Drosophila melanogaster: one gene and its partners. The protein of the gene in region 2 interacts with the protein of the main gene of each other region in a pairwise test. Each region holds a gene or a part of one and is shown on either strand. Other genes may lie near its edges.

Region 1 (7,102 bases), on a different chromosome or scaffold from region 2:
CCCTCTGGCCGCTCCCTTGGGATTGGGCTACAAGTCGGCATATCCTACTCTGGGTGCTCCTCTGGGACTGGGCTACAAGACAGCTCTTGCTGCTCCTGCCTATGGACTCGCTCATGGATGGTAAACGAGGTCCATACCACCCATCATCGTTTTCCGCATGCATTTCGTTTTGTTTGGATCGGTCAGAAATGAGATGTAAATACACAGAGAAAAAAGAGAGAGAGAGAAATCAGTGAAGGTTTTGTAAAGTGAAATCAAATTGTTAAAAAACAGATTGTGAAGAGTGGGTTTGATGTTGAAATATATTTCGATTGAATTTAAAAACTAAACTTAAAACTGTTTTATTTGATCAAGCGTTTGAGGCAATATGAAAAACGTGCTGACAATTTTCAAATATTCAGTTTCATTTTGTTTTTCAGATATTTATTTTCAGATTTCAGTATTTGGATGTTCCTTATAGCCAAAGTTTTGAAATCGTAAACGAATGTTATATATTTTGTTCAGAACATCAAAAGTGTGCTTTACTTACATTAAGTATCAAAATATATGTTTAGTATAGGCAATTAAGACAATTATAAATATGTCTCAAAGAACCGTGAGAAAAAAAGATCCAGTTTTAATAAACGGTTGACCATGATTCTAGTTTTTTGTACATTTTTTGCTTTGTCTTTATTGATTTATTGACTTGCTGAGTGACTGACTGAATAAGATTTGGGTACTGCGAAGTATATGACTTGATTGAAAACTCTCACACGCTCGTCCCGGCTCCATTTGGCTTAACTTTACTTGACTTGGGAGTACCTCTACCAACCGTGGCCATAGCCATATCCCAGTCCGTATCCCAGACCCAGACCCAGACCCAGACCGTGTCCTCCGTACAGTCCATGGCCGTAGCCTCCGAGATATCCGTGACCGAGGCCATAGCCATAGCCGCCCAAGTAGCTTTTGCCGATGATCGTCTTGGAGATGATGGGTGCATGGTAGCCCAATCCCAGACCAAGACCTCCATAGTGCCCGCCATAGCCGTGCCCGTAGAGTCCTCCGTAGTGCCCGATTCCTAGACCCAATCCCAGGCCATATCCACCGTAGCCATGACCAATTCCGATTCCAATGCTGGGTGATGGAGATGGAGCAGGAGCTGGAGACGGAGATGGTTCTGGAGCGGGTTCAGGAGCAGGAGCTGCCAGGATGGAGGTCGTCAAGCAGGCGATTGTAATGAGTAGCAGCTTTCAATGAAGAAAAGACAAATGTTATTTATATGATTTAAGTAAAAAAAATTGCTTATATTTTCTAAAGTATTTTTTATTAATAATTGTATTATCCTTTTATATCCTGGTACCACTTACTCCTTTCATCTTGCTGTAGGTAATTTTCCGGCTGCTTCTGTGGCGGCTTAACCAATTGTGTTGCTGCAGTTGATCCCAGCAGGCCTCTTTTATACCAAACCCCAGTTCAGTGGATTGCATCCCCACATGGACATCGGTGATCTAATGAGCAGTGCCACAAAGTAAATCTAATTCGCCTGACAAGTTGCCCAAGTTAGCGGCATGCCACAAAACCATCCGTAGCTGCTGTAAATAAAAAGAAAATCCAACACCTGTTTTTTTTTGCCTTTTGGGCCAGCATTGTATAATCTGCAATCGAGTTTGGCATTTACCAGTCCACAATGGTTCCAGTTCCAGTTTTTAATTTGGCCTGTGGGCATTTTAAATCTGGTGGGTGGCCTTTTCCTTCGTTTCCTTCATGTGATTCCGGTTGGATCTGATCAAGAACTAAGATCTGAACTTCGGGTCAATGGTCTGTTTATTTTTATTCAGTATAGAAAAGAAGAGAACTATATAAGTAAAAGTATAGACTCCTCCAAAAAAACGCTATATATTCGTAGGTTTAATTTAAATATATTTCAAAATCTATTTTTCACGAATCTATAACACAAGTATATATTAAGCAAAATTTGTATGTGTCAGACTGGCCACAAAAGCAACTTCGTTGTAGGGAGTGTGCTAGTATTAAAACTAAAACAACGTTTATAACCGCTTTAGCATAAAGAGCTCGAACAGCCGCTGAATAAAGTCAAACTAATCAATTCTTAACACCTCCAAAGCCACATAAAATAGCTCGAAAAACACAAGATTGGGCAATGATTAAAATTGAAAAGAGACATCAAATGGGTAAACAAAGGCAAATCCGCAGACGTGTGACCAACTAACTCATACTTCCCAAGAAAAAAAAAACAAACAAACAAAAAGCCGAGAAATGTAAGACAACAAAAGCAACCAACCAACCCAATGTGCCATAATTAAGTGCACAAAAGAGTCACTGACTCTTTGATAATCTTCGGCGTTGACGCTTTAAACTTGAACTTGAAAACGGGTTTCTTTTCGAAGAGAAGGGGACCAGAGGCCAAGTGGAGTAGTGCTCCCACTACATGGATGTTGCAACAGGTTCCTGGTAGCAAGGGAAATGCAGTTGCTGATCTCAGGGGATTGTCAACCGGTTTACCCCTCCTAACTGTTTAAAAGCGCTATGAAAATCCAGCGATGAAGACGAGCCTATAAATTGATTGGCCTTCGGCTGCATTCAGCTTAGTCCAAGTGCAGTTCTGACCACAATATCACCAGAGAATGTTCAAGGTAAACAGGATAGATACTCAGTACTCCTTTATTAGTATCTGTATCTGATAGATCTTATTTTAGCTCGTCGTGCTATTCGGCCTTTTGAGTGGTGCCTTTGCCGCCACGGTTATCTACCATCACCCGGTGATCTATCATCATCCTCTGCCGGTTGCATCAACGCCCCAGGAGTTGGCTCAGCATCCTGGCTACACCATTGTGGCACCTCTCACGAAGATTGCCCACGTCACCTACGATTCGGTGCCCATTTCGCACACGCCCTACGAACATGTTCCTCTCTTCCAGAGGATTGGTCATGTCAAAAACATTAGGTTCTAGCGATGTATACCCTAGAAAAACATAGTTTAACTTATAAATAAAAACAAATAATAATAATAATCATTCTTTTAATCATTACGTTTAACATTGCTGCTATCACTGATGAATGATTCTATAAAACTTACCTAAAAATCCGTAAAAAATATAGAAACCGTTTATATGGTTTTAGAAGGTATTATATATTATCCGCTAATGATGTTCGACTTTTAAGAGCAGTATTAATTTGAAATATGATTTTGGATGGTATAATCCAAGGCAGCTATAATAGGAAATACTACTGAGAGGCTACCAAGTAAACTTCCTCAAAGAAACACGTTTGTAAATTTGATTAATGGATAATTGTTTATTCGCCAAGCATTGCTGCTCTCTAGGAGATGAAGATTTGGGCTAGTTTCTACAATCTAATAGGACGGATGGGAGTGTATGAGCTGGGTGATCCTACAGCTAAGTCCTTAGAAGAAGTATGGGGCGGGAGCGAACTTGGGGGCCACAGCCAGAGGCGCTGGGACTGGAGCAGCCAGGGGAGCGGCGAAGGGTCCGAATCCGAACTTGGCTGGTGCGGCGAAGGCAACAGGCGCCGGAGCAGGGGCGAAGCCCAGAGGAGCAGCCACCGGAGCGGGAGCGGCGAAGGCAACCTTGGCGGGAGCAGCAAAGGCCACCGGAGCAGGAGCAGCAGCCACTGGCAGAGGAGCAGGAGCGGCAAAGGCCACTGGAGCGGGAGCAGCAACTGGAACGGGCAGGGGAGCGGGAAGGGGAGCAGCGAAGGCCACTGGAGCTGGAGCAGGAGCCACTGGGTATGCCACGGCGTGGTTGATGCGGTGGGCATTGAAGCTGGAGGCATATGGAGCCACCACTCCGGCGGTAGCCACAGGAGCAGCCAGGGGAGCTGCGAAGGCAGGAGCAAGTGGAGCAGCCAGTGGAGCCGGAGCATGGAAAGGAAGGAGACCAGCCTGAGCAGAGGCCACGCAGAGGGCAACGAGCTGTAAATGAAGGTATATATCTATAATCCACTTCGATAGATCCGGACATCCTTTGCAACTCACCACAATCTTGGCGAACATTTTGGGGATTGGGTATGATTTGCTAGGTGTGATTAGCTTGAAGGCAGACTGAACTGTGATATCCAATTGTCCACTGGGTAACGCTTTTATAATTCTGTAGCCCACGGAATATCCATGGACGCGCATACGAAAACACCTTGGAAGACTTTCTATATTGGGAGCTGATGAAGGGCGTTGCTGGATCGGTGCGATATATGTACATATGTACTTAATAATCAATCGGTAGCCTCTTACGTCGATCGCCCCCGAAAACTTTCATAATTGCACGCAATTCCCGACCATAACCTAGGTTAATATTGGGCAAGATTTCGTTTGGGTTTCGGTCGGGTTTATGACAGTTGGGGCTTTTCGAATATTTTCGGTGGGTGGTGCTTTTGTAATGAGCTGCAATTATTTACCCAGAGTACGTGTTACTTGGCTCAATCATTTAATTGAATTACCACTTTTTTTCGTCCACCCGCTTTTTGTTTATTGTTGCAACAATTGTCGCGTGTTTGGGCCGGGTTTGTGTCTGGAATTTCTGATTTGATTTCATGTTGCGTGCAGTTCGAAATCCACTAACAACATTTCTGTGCCCCACTTGTGAGTGTGTGTGTGTGTGTGTTGCCAATAGTTTGTGTGTGTGTGTGTTGGCCGAATAAATGAAACCCCATTTGGCGACATTACGAGGCGTCTGGTTCGTAATGAGAGTCTGAATCAGATAGCGAATATGTTTCCTTTTGCTAATTTTTTGGTGTGCCTATGATTTTATCAACCGCAGTTACATTCTCTGGGATTTCTATTTTTGGAAATAATTGGTAAGAATGTGCGGGAATACTGAATATATTTTCATATATTTTGCTTAAGAACGCAATGATTGAATTCTAAGGTTAACAGAGCCTTAAATTGAGTATAAATGTAATTTGATTTATAATTCATTTTATTTGACTATATTTATTCGATATATTATTGTATAATGCATGAATTTTATTTGTTTCGTTTTTTATTTCACTATATTTATTCGATAAATTATTGTATAATGCAGGTAGACTTGTAGATTTAAGCTTTACATATCCTATCTGACACTAATTACTCTTTGGTGAGGTTTTCATCATCCGTAAGGTCGGGATGATCACCACAGCGAGTGGTGATGGTGATGAGCGAACTTCAGGGGCAGGGCTTTCAGATGGGCGTGGGGCGTGGCCAGCAGCTTGGGAAAGGCGTAGCCAATGGACACGCGGTGGGTGGTGGTCTTCGGTCCGGGAATGGCACGGTAGGTGGGTGCAAAGGGCACCGCCTCCAGGACGGGCGGCAGCACTTGATGGGTGACACTGGGCACATGGAACTCGGGCAAAAGAGGAGTAGGAGCTGGCAGAAAAGCTGGAGCTGGTAGAAGTGGTGCAGGTGCTGGTAGAAGTGGTGCAGGAGCGGGCAGAAGAGGAGCAGGAGCCGGTAAAAATGGTGCAAGAGCAGGTAAGAGAGGCGCTGGAGCAAATACAGGTTGTGGTGGAGCAAATGCTGGTGGTGGAGCCACCGCAGGAAGCAAAGGAGCTGGCGGAGGAAGGACCGATTCCTGCACCGCGTAATCCAAGTGGTGCGGCAGAGCATGCAGAGAATCCAAGTGGCTCAGATGATGTCCGTCAAAGTGGTTGACATGGTGGGGATCGAAGTGATTGTAGTGAAGATGAGAGGGCTTTGCCTCACCACCCACCAGCAGGAAAGCCAATGCAAAGGCCTAAAAATATTTAGGTTACCTATTAATATCTTTGGTCAAAAGAACTTTGCAGTCCTTACCCATGTCAGTTGCCACATCTTGCTTGGGGGATTTGAAGTTCGGTTTCTTTGGGGCAGTAGCTTCTCGATCGATGTGCTCGACCTGTTGGTTCGGCTGCTAATGTCTTTGCATTGTCAAATTAAATTAATATTTATAGCGAATTGAAGGCGGTACGCAATCAAAAGACTTGCACTTGCATTTCTTCACTTTCGACGACGACTTGGCCCACTCACCTAACTTAATGGGTTGCATCATTTGGAGGGAGGCAACCCAATCCCATTTAGTTGGTCAGCAAGTCGTGACTGAGACGGCGACTGCGAATGGCACTGCCTTCGATCGAGGGGCCAATAACTTCTTGGGCGATTCGAAAGCACGGCCCATGATTATATAACATGGGGCCAACCAAGCCCAGGCATTGACAGTTGCCCATGAGTGGAATATGATTATGATAATCCATAAATATTGCTTTGACCATAAATAACAATCGATATTGCGCCTTAGGTGACAACGCAATCACAACAAATATTGTTTACATGGTGACCAAGTTGTCTGACTTTAACTTCCCTAAGTCCCTAACTTATGTATGTTGCTACTTTGTCAATATTATCTTTAAAATTCAATGCAGCTGTTAGAAAAAATTCCATTAAAAATTAAATGCAGACCTATAATTTATGCATAATTTGTATTAAATGATATCCACCAATAAACAAGCTTATTTTGCATATCAAAGAAATGAGTGAGAAACGAGAAATTCAGAGCATTAAATGGAAAGTTCTAAAGTTTCTAAAAAAAAATTAAATAACTTCCTCTATCTGAAATCTGGAAATATATGGATGCTTAATAAAACCACTTGCACAAAAGGAATCATCTAATCAAAAATTGATCATAGTTAAGTAAAGAAGTTATTTTATATTTTCTTAAGAAATATATATATATTGACCCAATCGAAATGAGCGTCCAATTGAATTTTCATGAACCAAAAATATCCGATAAATAATAGTACTTTCGTTTTTCGTTAATTATTCAAGGCATTTCTGCAAATAATAAGATGGTGCGCTCTAATTGTTGGTTCGTAATTTATTATCAGTTTTTTTTTTTGTTTATCAAAAATTTCCTATAGTTTGGCCTGCTTCACAGGTGTGTCCTTAGACCACCACTGGAGCTGGAGCAGCAGCGGCGATGGGAGCAGCATAGGATGCAGCGTAGGGAGCGGCGTAGGGAGATGCCAGGTAGGGTGCAGCGTAGGGCGAGGCATAGGGATAGGCGGAGTAGGCAGCGGCGGCATAGGGAGCAGCGGCCAGAGGAGCAGCAACGGGAGCAGCGGCCAGAGGAGCAGC
Region 2 (7,232 bases):
CATTGCATTATACAGTTCACTGGGGTCGCTGATTCATGGGTGCTCGCCAACTTGGGGTTGCCTTGGGATTGGGATAAGATCGTGAGTCATCTTGGGTAACTGGGCACTTGAAAAGTGTTAAGGTAGATCAGAATCATAGGCTTATTTAAATAAGCTATTGAGATCGATGCACTCGATTCCACAAGTAAACTGATAAGATACAAGGGTAAATACGTAGTAGTAGCTGGCATTATATGTTCGATTTTTACTAAATGGTGCGCAAATAAAATAGTTTTTTATCATCTATAGTACCACTAATCCAAGTTGATACTTTTTCTGTTTATTGACAATATATAAACAAGATAAATGAAAACTTAGTGTTTTGGCCACAAAATCCAATAGCCATTTCCCAATATCAGCAGATTCTTCAAAGTTAAAATTTTAGAGATAATACAAACAAACTTAAGTTTGATCAAAAAATCATTCAGTAAATCCACAGCTTAAAGAATGTTATAATACTATTTTTCAAATGTAAAACAAAGGAAAATACTGTTTCGATTTCTCAAAAGTTTTATTATATTTTGAAGAGCATATTTTTCCATTTATTGGGTGGACACAGCAGCGACTGGTACAAATGTAGTAGTGGTGGTGATGTTGTTGTTGGTAGCAACTGGAACTGCAACCTGAGTGGGAACAACCACAACATTTCGGGACATCATCCTGCGGCACTGGCGACAAGGACGGCCCCAAGCCAGGGGATTTGCATAGTACAGGACTCCTCGAGGATGGTTGCACTCGGCGCACTTGAGGTTGATATTGATGTCGGACATGGCTCTGTCTTGTCTTGGCTCTAAGTTGTCTCTGCTCGACTGCACTTCAATTTGGCTTTTAACTTTAACTTATAACCTTTTTATACAGCCAGTTTGAATGCGATAAGAAAAATTGAGGACTCGCTTATCACAACAGTGATGGATCAAACTCGTAATTCTGCTGCAGCAGTTGTGATTCAATCTCTCAATCCCTCGATTTTCTGTGACTCATATGTTCTAGGGATGTTGAACTTTTCATTCTAGAGTGACTCATCATAGACCTCTTCTTAAGTGGTTTTTTAGGATACATTTTTACTTGCTATTCTCGATAGTTTAAGAATCCAAAAATAATTATCTTGACTCTTCTCTTCATGAGTAATTAATTCTTTTTTAGATATCAATTCCCGAACTCTTATCATGAAAAATATTTTTCATTTGTATACATATACATTTTAAGCCATAGTTGGATATGCAATTCTTATTTAAATACGGCAAGAATGGTATAACTTTTCATATAAAATCATAATTCAAATTTTACTTTGAGTCCAGCAAGATCTTTTATATTTATTACGCCATTTAAATTGAGAAAACTATTGCCCAGTTTTCGTTATAATAAAGCTTAAAATATGTTTATGTACTGACAGCACTAGTTGTACAATAATTGATAAGCTGGCTACGACCAGAGGACATCAATCATTTCCCACCAGTCAGATAGCAAAACCGAAGCCAAATAATATATACAAAAACCACAAAAAATCCACGAAAGCAATTACCCGTACGGAAAATAGAGAGTGGAAAAGGAATCATGACCATGACCATTGTTTATGTCGTTCGCCTGCAGTTCAATTTTCATATTTGTACCATTAACATTGCAAATAAATGCAGGCATATATATTCGCAATATGAAAATGTGTCACAGCAAGAACCGACATTGAAAACCAATCAAGTATATTTCAATTAAGGTAAAGTGCATTTAAGTTATTTAAGCAAATATTTCGAGCGGATTTACAATTGCATTGGCAATAAGATTGAGGCAAATTAAAATGTCAGCTTACATGAAGAAATATGTGCGTAATATATAGTATACTATAGTATATAGTAGTATAAACACGAAATTCAAACATGAAGGAGTGAACTGTTTATTTATTTTTTATTTTTATTATACAAGAGCTTAGGTTTTGTAAAAAGTTAGTTTATAGTTTCTATTTGCAGAAATACATGAAGTTTAATAAATATTTTTAAAGTTTTTTACTTCGTTGTTGAACGACGGTCATATGGAGACCACGCCTACCACCTGGGCGGTGGGGGCTGCTGAACGATGATGACCTCTTCCCTGGGAGGTGGACGCCGACCGCCGATGTTGAACTCGATGAAGGGAGCTCTTGGTGGCACCACATCCACCTCGATAATGGGTCGTGGTGGTGGCGGCTGGTAGACGGCAGCTGGTGTGATGACCTCCACCCTGGGCGGTGGTGGTGGATACCGGCCGCCCACTCCGATCTCAATCACTGGTCGAGGAATCCTTGGCGGCACAATGTCCACCTCTACAATTGGCCTTCCACCGTGATGGTGATGATGGTGATGACGACGTTCCTCCTCGTAGTACGGCATTTTCTTCAGAAACTATCCAAGTATTGTATCCTTAGTGGGTGAAGTGAATGCCTTTGACTGCTTTCTCGAACTGAACTTGCTTCTTCGCCTGCTTAACTATTTAAGTCAATTTTTATCGCTAATGAGGGGGAATTTTTTTTCCTAATTTTGTTATGTGCGTTTTGCACAGTAGCTTAGTTGGTTATCTTGTCAGGTGGAATAAATGTGTTTTTTTCGATAAAAAAAAAATAAAATTGATAAGTGCCATTTGATAAATACGAAATTCCGAATTGAATTTCATGAGGAGAGTTCAAGGTTTCCATGAATCACAATTTTATATTTAAGAGGAAGGACTTAATTCCATGCTTCTGATTGATGACTCACACTAAATTACATAAACATAAATAAAATCGATAATGCAGTATTTAGAATATTTTTAGAATTAAAGACGGGTAGGTTTTTTGAAGAGCAAGATATTTTATTTATTTCGTTTTAAGGTTATATAGCACAATTATATTTTCTTTGAAACGGTTAAAGTTAAATTCCAGTTTTGTTTTTTTGTACCTTCCTCTGGTTATTAACTTGTTAACTTTGTGGTGCGTAATGTCAAGACCATTGCACCATTTGCGTTGTCATTTCAACTTAAGATTAGGACAAAGTGATATTTGTTTTGATTTCTTGTTATCTATCCCTTCCTTCACTCCATCGATAGTATATTTTTTTTTTGTTAGTGGTGATGGCTTCGTTTCCATTCCGACCTCGTTCACCACTGCGGATACGGTGGATTGTTGTAGGGCTGCTGATACTGGTACTGATACTCGTACGCCTGCTGCTGCTGCTGCGGATAGTATCCATTGGTGGTGGCCACCGTGACGCCGCCGTAGGGTTGCGGCATTATCACCTGTGTGCCGGGCACATAGGTAGCCGCCGGGGTCATGTAGACTACCTCGGCGGGCCGAGGCGGAGGCGGCGGCGGATAGTAGCCGCCACCCCAACCGGGAACCACATCAATTTCGATATTTGGACGACCATGGTGATGGCGAGGAGGATAGCCACATGGATCTTCATAGTACCGCATAGTTGATTAACTAGCCAAATAATCAACCAGCCAACCGAACCAACTTCACCACCCAGCAACGCGTTGAATACTGGAAAGTCCGTGGCACAACACGTCTAGCTCGAAACAAACTGGAACTGCGAAGCTCCATCAATCAGGGTTTGTGGGAATTATTCCAGTGGTTAGAGGCAAAGATAAGATGGCTTAGTCATTCGACAAGGTCTGATAACAGCGACCGGACAGTTGTGCATTTACAGGTGATCGGGTTTCGCTATTTTACTCGCATTTTGTTTACTATATTAACTGATTCCGGCTTATCTATGGGTAACGCGTTATTATTTCTGATATAGGAGCATAGAAGCATTGACAGAGCATTGGTGAAAATGAATTAAAGTTTTGCTAGACATTAACAAAACAACAAGTGATTGCCGTCTAAATTAACCAGGTGTTCCGATAAAGACTTAAAAAAAAAAAACACGGATTAGAGATTTTGATAATAAAAAGAGGGAGTGTGTGTGATGGAATCAACTCGATTGAAACTCAACCATTACTCATGACAAATATGCAAAAAAACTAAAAACTATAAACTAAAACTTAGTTTATAAGGTTATACTTTATTGAGGACATATAGTTGTTAAGTAAGGCTACGTGGTATAAATTCATTGTGAAGGATTTTACAGATCAAAGTTCCTTCTCAATACTGTGGATTGTGGTAGTGGCTGCTGCCGGGCGGTGGTGGTGGTGGTGGATTTTGGTAGTACGGTGGCGGAGGCGCCTGTTGCACCACCATGACTGGTGGCGGTGGCGGAGCCTGCTGCTGCACCACCACAACTTGGGGTGGTGGGCGGTGATGGCGGCGTGGCCATGGTGGTGCAATCTGTACCTTAATCACGGGTCCACGACGATGAGGCGGTCCGCCGCAATGATCGTGGGGTGGTGGTGGCATAGTGGTGCACTAATCTTCTGTAGAAAGTCCGTCCAAATGTGTCGACTTATCGCTGGTAACTGAATTAAGCGAATGCCCAACTCATGGGACTGACTAACCAAACAAACGCCAAAATATTTGCCGTCATAAAAAAGCTCAATATCAGCATTTGCTGATAGCGAATAGGTAGGTAGGTACTCTTAATTATTTCTATTGACGAAAGTATTGCTTCTAGAGCAAAGTTATCGATAAATAAACTGAAAATTGGCAAATGGTAAAGCTTTTTTCGAATAAGCTTTTCAATTCAAATTTGAGCCTGCATATCAATAGATTTTCCTCGTTTCTTTAATGAGTCATGTTTGGTTTTTTCCGGGGATTTCTCCTTAACTTACATATAGTCATGTAAATACTTGTTTAAAGTTTTAAAAAGAAATAAAGTATTTCGTTGTCACGAAGAAAGGAAATGAACCAACGTGCAAATATTTGTATTTGGTTAAATGCGATTAAATTCCTTAACTCTAGTGAAAACAAACTTTAGCTTGAGAAAATGTTGTCAAGCCACAAATATTTATCCAATTTTCAGCCCCGAAAAATTCCCAATAATTCTTTACACATTTTCCTTAGCCGGCAAATATTTGGCAAACATTTGCACGTCTATTATGCAAAGTTTGCAGACACGATTTTGCCTCGAGGGGCGACGTGGGTAAATATTAAATGTATGGATAGAAAAACATGGTAATTTCTGACGGTCAATCAAGAAAAGTCTCTCGGGACTCTCTGAATCTCAATCACTTGATCAAATAAAATTCGGAATATTCGATTTGACAACCAGGAGAGCGGCAGCCTTTTTGGCTGTACTTAATTGAGTGGTTCGTGCTGCATTTCGCATTTCATTCGCTCTTTGAATTGTCACTTCGATCAAGGAACTGGGGTTAAGGGTTACGGCTTAAGGGTTAAGGGTGCTTGCCCTAAAAAGTTAAACATGCACAAAGTGGCAAACGAGTTTCGGGCAAAGTTTTCAACTGACGCAAAAGAAGGAAGGAAATGAGTGCCGCATAACGCGCAACATATCGACTGAGCTTTTGTGGGCGCGCTGCGTTGGTGGGGCGTGGCAGGCCGCATGACAGTCACTCACTTTAGTTATTATAGCCATTAAAAGGAAATCCCAACTGGCTGTAATGAAATCACTGTCCATAGCAAAAACGATAGTTTAAACGTAGCCAATTCACTTTGGGGATAAAAAATAATGTAAATTTTCAAGACCTCTGAAGAAAAAGAAAATTTCTCAAGCGAATTTACTCGAAAAAGTGTATTAAGTGCGTCATCTTTGAAGCCTCCGCTTTTTCCACATGTATTTTTTAACTCCTTGTGCATATTTTAGGAAATGAATTGAGTCCTGGCAAGATAAAATGTCTCTGTCCCCGAGTGAAGAATCAAAATCAGAAAATTGGGGCTTGGAATCGGGAGTTGAATCTGGATCTGAATCTGCAGCTGAAACTGAGGCAGCGCCCTCGAATCGATAACTGTCAAAAAATAAGCCGGCAAGCAACATGCAAGACAGGCGCATAAGGGGGCGTGGCAAAAGGGGTGTTGCAAATGGATGGGGATGTGGTTGGGGGGATGGTGGTTCTGGTGGTTTTAAGCGGTGGCGGCGGCGTCGCACAATTTAAATATTTATGGCGCTCCGCTTGGTGCACAAGAAACGGAACCAGGCACACGGCATAGCCAAAAAACCGTAACCGTAAGCCTAACCAAGAAACCAGGAAAAGCAGCTATCCGAAATTTCGCAACCCGTTTACTGAGAGAAATCAAATGAAAGTATTTGCAAAATTCAGCTTCGCACAAAAGTCCAAATTATTGTAATTATTATTTTTAAAGGGATTTAAAATTTTGAAAAAAAAAATATCGGTTTTATACAGAATAACAACATGTACGTTGAAATGTGTATAAAGGATTTATGAAAAAATTGATTGTATGCATTTTTCTTCAGTGCATACCACCTTTACGAGGCTTCTTTAGCAGCGGCGTCAGAAAACGCATTTCCTGCTCATGTCATGACATGCAAGTGTGGCTGGGAAATCGCGTAACGCAGCAAGAGTTGGCAAGAAAATCGGGAAAGTTGGAAAATCGGTTGGTGCAGAAATGGGTTACCCAAAAGGAATCATTGCTTTTGTCGACATGTCATGGCAATACTCGTATCTGAAAAGTGTTTTCGGGGTTGGGCTGAGATGTTTTTCGAACATTTTCAAGAACATTTTATTGAGCTACCGTTTTCAGGCACTCGCTGCAAGTTGATGATTGATAGAGTTGTAAAACTGAAGACGGAAAGGCAAAATGCTGCCAGAGGTGAGGGATGACTTGACAGTTTTGCTAAACTCTTGAAATCTTGCAGCGTAACTACGAAAATGTTGTCGAATATTTTTACAATTAGGCAATGTGCTTAGCATATTCAATAATTTAAATATTTTTAAAAATATTATTAAAAAAAGAATTTACATATTTTTACATTTTTGAACTCTATATTGTAAATTAAAACGGTTTCTTATGCACAATAGTTTTAGAAGCACTGACGCTTGCGTTCCTCTCAACTTTTAATTGAAATCAGCTCACAGTTTTACAGCCATAGGTGTACACCAGCAACCGCCACTCCCCCTTACGCCCACAAGGCCATTAAGGAACTTGTTAATTTGCATTTTCCATTTCCATTTGCATGAAAATTTGTTTCTTTTCGCGAGGCGCAAAAATTAACCAGCGAAAGAAACAAAAATGAGGCAAAAGTTGAAGGGAGCACAAAGTTGTCCCTTTAATGCCTGCGGTTTGCACGCCCAGAACTCCAGGAAAACCAAGGTCTTCTTATGCGTATACATGTACA
Region 3 (7,725 bases), on a different chromosome or scaffold from region 2:
CTTTCGAGTTCACACCATTGTAAATTACTTCCATTATATTAACAGCCTGCGGATTTGATCAATGATATTTGTTCAGAATAACTAAAGTAGGTAACTTACGATGGTAGGGAATATAACCATCAGCAGAGCGATCTTAAGAAGGAGAGGCGGGCAAACGCACATCGTAAAATTTTACAAAATTCCAAAATAAAATGACAAGTTTTTCATGTCTGTAAATATAGCAAGAGAGAACTATTTCGTATGTATCTCGACTATAAGATACCTGTTACTTAGCCAAGTGCGGATAAGAATTTATTACACGGCCAGTGGTGTTGATAAAAATGTGACAACTTCTTCAACTTTAGCTAGTTATTCACAAGTGCTAAGCCGCAAGCTATTCAAGTGGCGGGAAGAGGACGAGGTCCTCGATGTTCTTCAAGTCCTGCCACATGTGGCTGAGTAACAGGGACGACAAAGCGGCCAACAGCAATGCCAACAACACTGTTGACATTTTCCAGTTGAACGCACAATAGCCCCCATTCCATTTGGAACCCGTTTGTTGTTTGCCGTCTTGTATCTTGTATCTGGTATCTGGTATCTGTCCTGTGTGTCCTACCGCTCTGCTAAAATAATCGCCACAATAATCTGTCAACGACAGCTGCTGATGTCATAAAAACCTTTTGAAGATGTCCTTGCTGTAGTCCTCTCCTTCTTGTTTGTGGACCCCAAACAGGCTAATGATAATTTGCCACAATTTACACTCAAACCAGCCGCAGCAACAGGACCTCCTGGCTGTGTGATAAAATCATTGATGGAGCCAAAAGCTAATTGAATGTTAATCGCTTGGCATTGACATTGCACGTGGCAGCCAATGGCGGGGTTGAAAACTGCCAAGGAAAATCGCAGGAAAACGGAGGAGTAGAACCCCTCAACCGAAGCTTTTCACAGATGTGCTGCGATAAAGCTCAAAGGTAAGCGGTCAATTTGCATAAAGTGATGATAAATCAACAGAAAAAAAGCGACCTTAAAGTTGCTTTTGTCTTCCCCCCACACGCCCAGCTGCACTTGTTTGTTTCGCCTCGTGGAGCAAATAGAAAACAAACGGTCTGTAATCTAAAAATTAAATTTTAATACACCCACCAGTTGGGTGGCAGAAAAATGTTATAGAGAAATGGGAGGGTATCCTCTTTGTCTACTTCTATGCGATATCGCAGATATCGTCGGTTTTCTTTATTATAATTTTGTATTACAGCATCAGTGATTAAGAAACTCATTTCATATAAAAGCCATTAATGGTCACGAAAAAAGAAAAACGCATAGAACATAGTAGGCCGAAAATAAGGCAACAAATTCGTTTGCTGTGCCTATGAAATGTTTCAAATGCAATCCATTCAAAGTGTGGCTGGTTCTGACAGAAGGACACATTAACTGCAGTCACAGTATGGCAGTTATAGCCGCAGTTAGGAAAACAGAATCTGGACCATGGGACGGCCCTTTTGTGGTTCGGTGGAGTCAAAGTTGCAATTGAAATGCCGGCACAAATGTAAATTCAAACGGGCGGGACGGGCACAACAGCCATAGCAGATGCATCAATTATCTAATTGTGTGCCGAGACAGAGTCGTCATAATGTCCATCAAAATTAGGGAAAAATGACCAGTACACAATGTGTCCTTGTTCCACGGAAGAAAATTATGTGCAGAATAATATGTAACGTTTAAAAAAGGTCTGAACAGGATGTTTCTAATCTCAATTTAAGTTTTTATTAGAAGTCTCTAAGCCAAATCAAGCTTTTAAGCAAGTTTAATATTTTATAAAAATAATATTAAATTTTTTTCGGTGCAACGTTGTCTATGGGAAACTGTGTCTGTGACGCCGTCTGGAGTGTCATGCTCGGCATGGACCCGTGGGATAGGTAAATTTGATTTATGACCTATTATGCGTCTTATGTCCAGCCATAATTTAATTATACCAGGACACACAGCCAGCCAGTCAGACAAAACACAAAATACCGAACGGCAAAGCGACAATGTCTGCAGTTTTTCAACCACATACACACACAATCTGCCGCACATAATGCTGTTATTTAAATCATGAAAATTCGCTTACCTAAATTGCATTGCAACAATTGCAGGATGGTCCCAGCAATTTGCCCCCTTGTCAGTCTCGTTTTTGTGGCAAAAACTAAAGCGACAATCTCAAGCCAAAATGTAAATGTAATTAAAGTGCAGTTAGGCTTTCCTTTTGGGGTGTTTTGTTTGTGTGTGTGTGCTTGGCATGCGAAATGAAATTGAAATAAATTATTGACTAATTGTCAACTCAGACGAGAACAATCTGGCACATTTTGGCATGTGGCACGGGGCGTATGCGCAATCAAATCACAAATCAAAGCGCCCGCCGAGAACAATAACAAATGCAACTAATTTGGCTGGCAAAAATTCCAAGACAGGGTCCTCGTTCTACTCTTTTTGGACACGTTTTCATTTAATTTGATTGTTCTTGTCTGGCCTGTCAATTGGCCAAGAGGGAATTAATCAGCTCGATTGCATGTCGCATTAGTGTCATGTCTTAGAAGGGCAAACTAAAGTTGAACATTTTTGACTTATTTTTGAGAAAATCTTAAACGAGTTTTAAGGAAGAATAACAAAAATTATTATCAATAGTAATAAGTTCAAAAGTTCATGAGGCATAAGTTAATGCTTATTAAGAGCTGATCCATGTCTTTAATAACTTTCCTGTCTTTTTGTCTTTTGTCTATTACCTCAGTCTCTCTATCATTTACCTTTCATTACGCAACTCGATCGCTGTTCAAGCAATCCCGTTAAAATATCACTGTCAAAACACGCATTCGGTCTATTAAACTCTACCTCTTGGCCGCCTGTCAATGGTTCCAATTGAACCCATTTAACTGGTACCCATTAATGTAGTACCACATATCTATCCACAGTCACTCTGAGCCAAGATGTCAATGTTAAGTTTGGGAGGCAAGCGTGTAAGCCATTTATGCGGAGTTGCGGTTATGCGAGCATAAATATCCGTTAATTAACTGACAATAAATATAACATGTGCACAAGTTGCTTTTGGGGGAAAGGTGTGCGAAAAATATTAAATCCAATTAAAGAGCCATAAAACACGACATGCCACGCCCCCACAGCTTATCACAAAGCCGCTTACCACCACGCCCACCGCCTTAGCACTTCAGGTAAGACCTCATAGAAGGCCAACGCATAACGATGAATTGGCAGAAACCAGTTTGGCCCATTGTTCACCCAGAAGGTCTACTTTACTCGGCTCATGTTTAATTTGCAACAATCGATCTCCGTCTTTATTGACCACCAAACATTAACAATTGCTTAAGCCCAAAGGCCAAGACTTATTTAGAAACCCCAGTGGGTTCCGAATCCATCGAAGCTCATGTGCGACACACTCTCTGCGGGGGAATAGTGAACCGTCTGGGAGCTTCCATAGCTGGAGACGCCCAGAGCTGGAGCATTGTGGGTGTAGGTGGTGGCAGCTGGTCCATGGTTCACATTGGTGGTGGCCAGTGGGGCGGCATAGGACACAGTCTTGGCCACAGCCGGTGCGGAAGCAGCATAAACTGGAGCTGGAGCAGAGTACACGGTCTTGGCCAGAACTGGAGCTGGTGCGGAGTACACGGTCTTGGCTACAACTGGAGCGGGTGCAGCATAAACTGGAGCAGGAGCAGCGTAAACTGGAGCAGGAGCAGAGTACACGGTCTTGGCCACAACTGGGGCGGCAGGAGCATAAACCTGAGCTGGAGCGGAATAAACGTGCTTGGCCACAACTGGAGCAGGAGCGGAGTAAACAGTCTTGGCCAGAACTGGAGCTGGAGCAGCAGCGTACACAGTCTTCTCAACAACGGGAGCTGGAGCATGGACCAGAGTCTTGGACACAATGGGAGTAGCCTGAGTGTACAGAGGAGCAGCACCATAAGTGGTCGTCTTAATAGCAGGAGTGTATACATTGTTCTGGATCCTCGTGTCGCTCTTCCTCACACTGGAGTAGGGGGTGTCCACCGCCTTCGAGTAGCTGGAAACAGTACCGGCAAAGGACCTCACCACATTCTGCTGAGTGGAGGCGACGGCATCCACCGACGGATTAGCAATGGCCACATGGCTGGCCAAGAGACCAGCATTGGCGCAGGCCACCAGGGCGCACAGAGAGATGAGATAGCGGAATGCCATGTTGAAGTACGGTGATGACTGGACGGTTTGCTCGAGTCAAGTTGAAAGCAGGCTGGTTGGGCTGCGACTGATGCTGATTTGGCCAAAATGTGCCGGCTTTTATACGCATCGGACGCGTGCCAGTTTTTGTCGGTTTTTGGTTGGTTTTCTGGTGATTTCCACAATGCGATGGCAGTTCACCTGCGTAACCGCTTGAAAGCCAATTTGCAGGCATGCATTAAACGCGGTAATTAGGTTTCGGTGTGGGGCTTCAGCGCCCCCCGTGTAAAATTAATAACAATTTGCCAAAAACAAAAACCAAAACAAAAAAATGCGCGCCAATAGAAGAAGGAAAAAGAGCGCAGAATTTGTGGCAGTAAGAAGCATCCCAAGTTGGCAACACAATTCAATTTGGAGTAGCGTCAACTTTGGTAATTTCAATAAATATTCATCATGCGCCCGTGAGCAGCAGAGCAGGAAAATTCATTTTCCAAACTTGGCCGAAACAAAAGAAAAACATCAAGAGTGGAAAAATGCACACAGAACGAAGTGGTAGTACTCTATGCGCAGTGTCAATAAAATGGGTGTTTCAATGAATTATAATATATCTATAAATAATATTATTTTTATGGCCAATCCATATAGGAACTTTATACTGAGCTATGCATATGGCATCTTTCTTGAACAGCTATTTAGGACGCACCAAAACTTTTCGACTTCTGATCATTAATTTCAACTTCAGATCTTCCTTCTGGAAGGGCACAAAAACTTCTCGGCTTCCCCTTGGAATAAAAACAAACAAAAATCATAAACAACTGACTGCCACCACTCCGAAAAGAAAGGAACCACTGACACCCCTGCTGATAAAGTTGACAGCAACAAGGAGCTAAGGAACATCCCCTTATTGAGGGGTTGCCTCATATTTGCTGCTCGAGTGGAACTCAATTTAATGGAAAAACACAGCGGGAAAATAAAAGTTTGCCCCACTCCGTTGCTGGAAAATTTATGAGCTGTTGATAGTACGAGTATTCAAAATAATTCACTTTCCTGATACATTTCGCATTTGGGGTGTGGGGCACTTGAGCTGGCCTCCAATTAAGACAGAGACGGAGCACGGAAAGAGGGAGAGAAAAGAGCGCAGTCATTTGTCGACCCATTGAACCAGTTTTTTTTTCTTCTTTTTTTTTTGTGGGGAGCTTAGGCCTAACTCAATCTGTCATACGAACAAACTATAATTTGCGAGTTGGCCGTGAAATTTGGCAAGCCATATGCGAGTTTTGGCTATAAAAACAGTCGCTTGCCAAGAGTTTAGCATCAGTAGCCACAGCAGCTCACTACAAACATCAGCTTAAGTTTTCAATTTTAAATTGTCAATCAATCAATTCAATCTTAGCCATGGCATTCAAGTACGTCCTGTTGTCCTTCTGCGCTCTGGTGGGTGTGGCCAGTGCTGGCTTCCTGGCTCCGGCCACCACCTATGCCGCTGCCTCCATTCCCGTGGTGGCCAAGGTGGCTCAGCCCCACTACGATGCCGTGGGAACCACCCAGCAGAATGTGGTGCGCTCCTTCGGCGGCACTGTGTCCACCTACTCCAAGAACGTGGTTACCCCGTACTCCAGTGTCAGCAAGGTGGACTCCCGCATCACCAACAATGTCTACACTCCCAAGACCCTGTACTCCGCACCTGCTCCAGTGATCACCAAGTCCTTCTACGCTGCTGCTCCTGCTCCCGTCGTGGCTAAGACCGTGTACTCTGCTCCCGTCGCCAAGGCTGTCTATGCCGCTCCAGCTCCAGTCTACGCCGCTCCAGCTCCAGTCGTGGCCAAGACCGTGTACTCTGCTCCCGTCGCCAAGGCTGTCTATGCCGCCCCAGCTCCAGTCTACTCCGCTCCAGCTCCAGTCGTGGCCAAGACCGTGTACTCCGCTCCTGCTCCAGTTTACCACGCTCCTGCTCCTCTGGTGGCTGCTGCTCCCGCCGCCTATGTGAAGTACTCGCCCGCCGCCGTGGTTGCCCACGCCAGCTTCGATGGATTCGGATCCCACTGGGGATACTAGGTCAGGTCATCCCAACCTTTGTTGACACTTTGTTGAATTGTCTGTACGAAATAAAATCCGTTTATAACTGAATCAAGCACGAATTATTATTTCCTGCAATTGCAAAGGTAAAAAGGTTGTTCAAGTAAGCAAAGAATTAAAGTTTAAACATTGTAAAAGGGGTCAGTCATAAATCTAATTTTATGATCATATATTCTGAAGAACTTCCCATATAAAACGATTTAATAACATCAATTTAAAGAAACACTTTCACCCTTTTTGTTTTAGCTCTTAACATATAATTTTTCTAGCGTTTAATGGGGCGTATGTGTGCTAAGAATTGTTGCAACCATTTTAAATCCCCGGAAACCATGGCCACTCACCTCAAAAACCCTTTTCATTCTGTTTTCCTAGTTTTTTTTTTTGCGAGGGCGCAAATATTTAGTGCAAAACTTTCTGTTTGTCTTTGCCGGTTGGGGGGTGCAACAAAAAATTGTTGGCCAAAGTTTAATGAGCCACATGACCCTTTTCGCCTGCGACTTCGTCTTTGTATCCCTTCCCTTTATCTATGAACTTTGCACTGGATATTTCAGCAGCTTGACCAAAGTGTGGTTGCTTTTGCTGCCGTTATTGTTATGGCGGCTAAAAAGTTTACCCAACACCCAAATACAACGCATAAAAAAGGCATTAACGATGTGGGCCGGAGCAAACTATTTAGCCATAAAGTTGGTCGTTCCGGCGGACAATTTCGTATGCATATTTTATGGATTTTCAAATGCTGCAAAATTGTTTTTCACGACTAGAATTTAATGTTGACAACAATAAAATTTATGCGCGGGACGAGGGACACAAAATGAATATATAAACTTGAGCGTTTGTTGAAGGGGGTGGGGCTGGATCGTCCTTGAATATTTTCTGCTTAGCTGCATTTGCATATTGTCCGGATTGGAGTCCAATTCCGTGTCCGAATCCCCAGCTATCCGGGGTATTTGCAATACTTTTTCAATCGCCCGACATGCTTTGTTGATTTCTTTATTGGCTCATCCATATGCATGCCGTTGTTGGACAGGATTCTGGACATTGGATTTGCGACTCAAGTGTTTATCGTTATTGATTGCAGTCCGTGAAATATGACGATAGCCGGCAGCATCCAATTTGTCTCGCCCGCCAGAATGCCAATACTCATGCCCGGTACAATGTGAATTGAAAACCGCACCCAAAATTGCAATTCACATGAAAATCTGCTGCTTAAGTTCCATGCAATGTTGGAAAATAGCCCTAAAGTTCAGAGATGTTCTTTAGGATTGCTTCCCAAATCCGAATAGAACTGCAAGTCACTTTTTTACACTACCAAACCTTTCGGTGACCCGCTCAGACCACATACTTGTGGGTTGGGATTTGCTCCTTAACAGGATAATAAGGAATACCTCAATGCATATGACTAAAACATACTAAAATGGTTTTTAGCGTTAGAATTCGAAACACCCGACCACTACTCACCTGAATTACGAAGGAGATCACATGGATGAT

What was found. The genes of interacting proteins can lie anywhere in the genome.
Region 1: the proteins of CG15422 (region 2) and CG13049 interact in a two-hybrid assay, tested with the Drosophila melanogaster proteins (one large-scale study listed by BioGRID).
Region 3: the proteins of CG15422 (region 2) and CG8541 interact in a two-hybrid assay, tested with the Drosophila melanogaster proteins (one large-scale study listed by BioGRID).

What each region holds. Positions count from the first base shown.
Region 1 is NT_037436.4:16,277,855-16,284,956, forward strand, and holds CG13049 (uncharacterized protein), read right to left. Parts: upstream 4,077-7,102; 5' UTR 4,013-4,076; coding exon 3,995-4,012; intron 3,932-3,994; coding exon 3,404-3,931; 3' UTR 3,278-3,403; downstream 1-3,277. Other genes in the region: CG13065 (uncharacterized protein), read left to right, coding at 1-124; CG13050 (uncharacterized protein), read right to left, coding at 804-1,226, 1,347-1,355; CG13064 (uncharacterized protein), read left to right, coding at 2,625-2,633, 2,697-2,951; CG13048 (uncharacterized protein), read right to left, coding at 5,124-5,726, 5,786-5,803; CG13047 (uncharacterized protein), read right to left, coding at 6,911-7,102.
Region 2 is NT_033779.5:4,001,280-4,008,511, reverse strand, and holds CG15422 (uncharacterized protein), read right to left. Parts: upstream 3,529-7,232; 5' UTR 3,457-3,528; coding exon 3,142-3,456; 3' UTR 2,842-3,141; downstream 1-2,841. Other genes in the region: CG43773 (uncharacterized protein), read right to left, coding at 582-809; CG15423 (uncharacterized protein), read right to left, coding at 2,076-2,399; CG34176 (uncharacterized protein), read right to left, coding at 4,130-4,381.
Region 3 is NT_037436.4:7,468,067-7,475,791, reverse strand, and holds CG8541 (uncharacterized protein), read right to left. Parts: upstream 4,234-7,725; 5' UTR 4,183-4,233; coding exon 3,355-4,182; 3' UTR 3,278-3,354; downstream 1-3,277. Other genes in the region: CG43292 (uncharacterized protein), read right to left, coding at 1-46, 100-162; CG8543 (uncharacterized protein), read left to right, coding at 5,557-6,216; Tsp66A (tetraspanin 66A), read right to left, coding at 7,530-7,646, 7,696-7,725.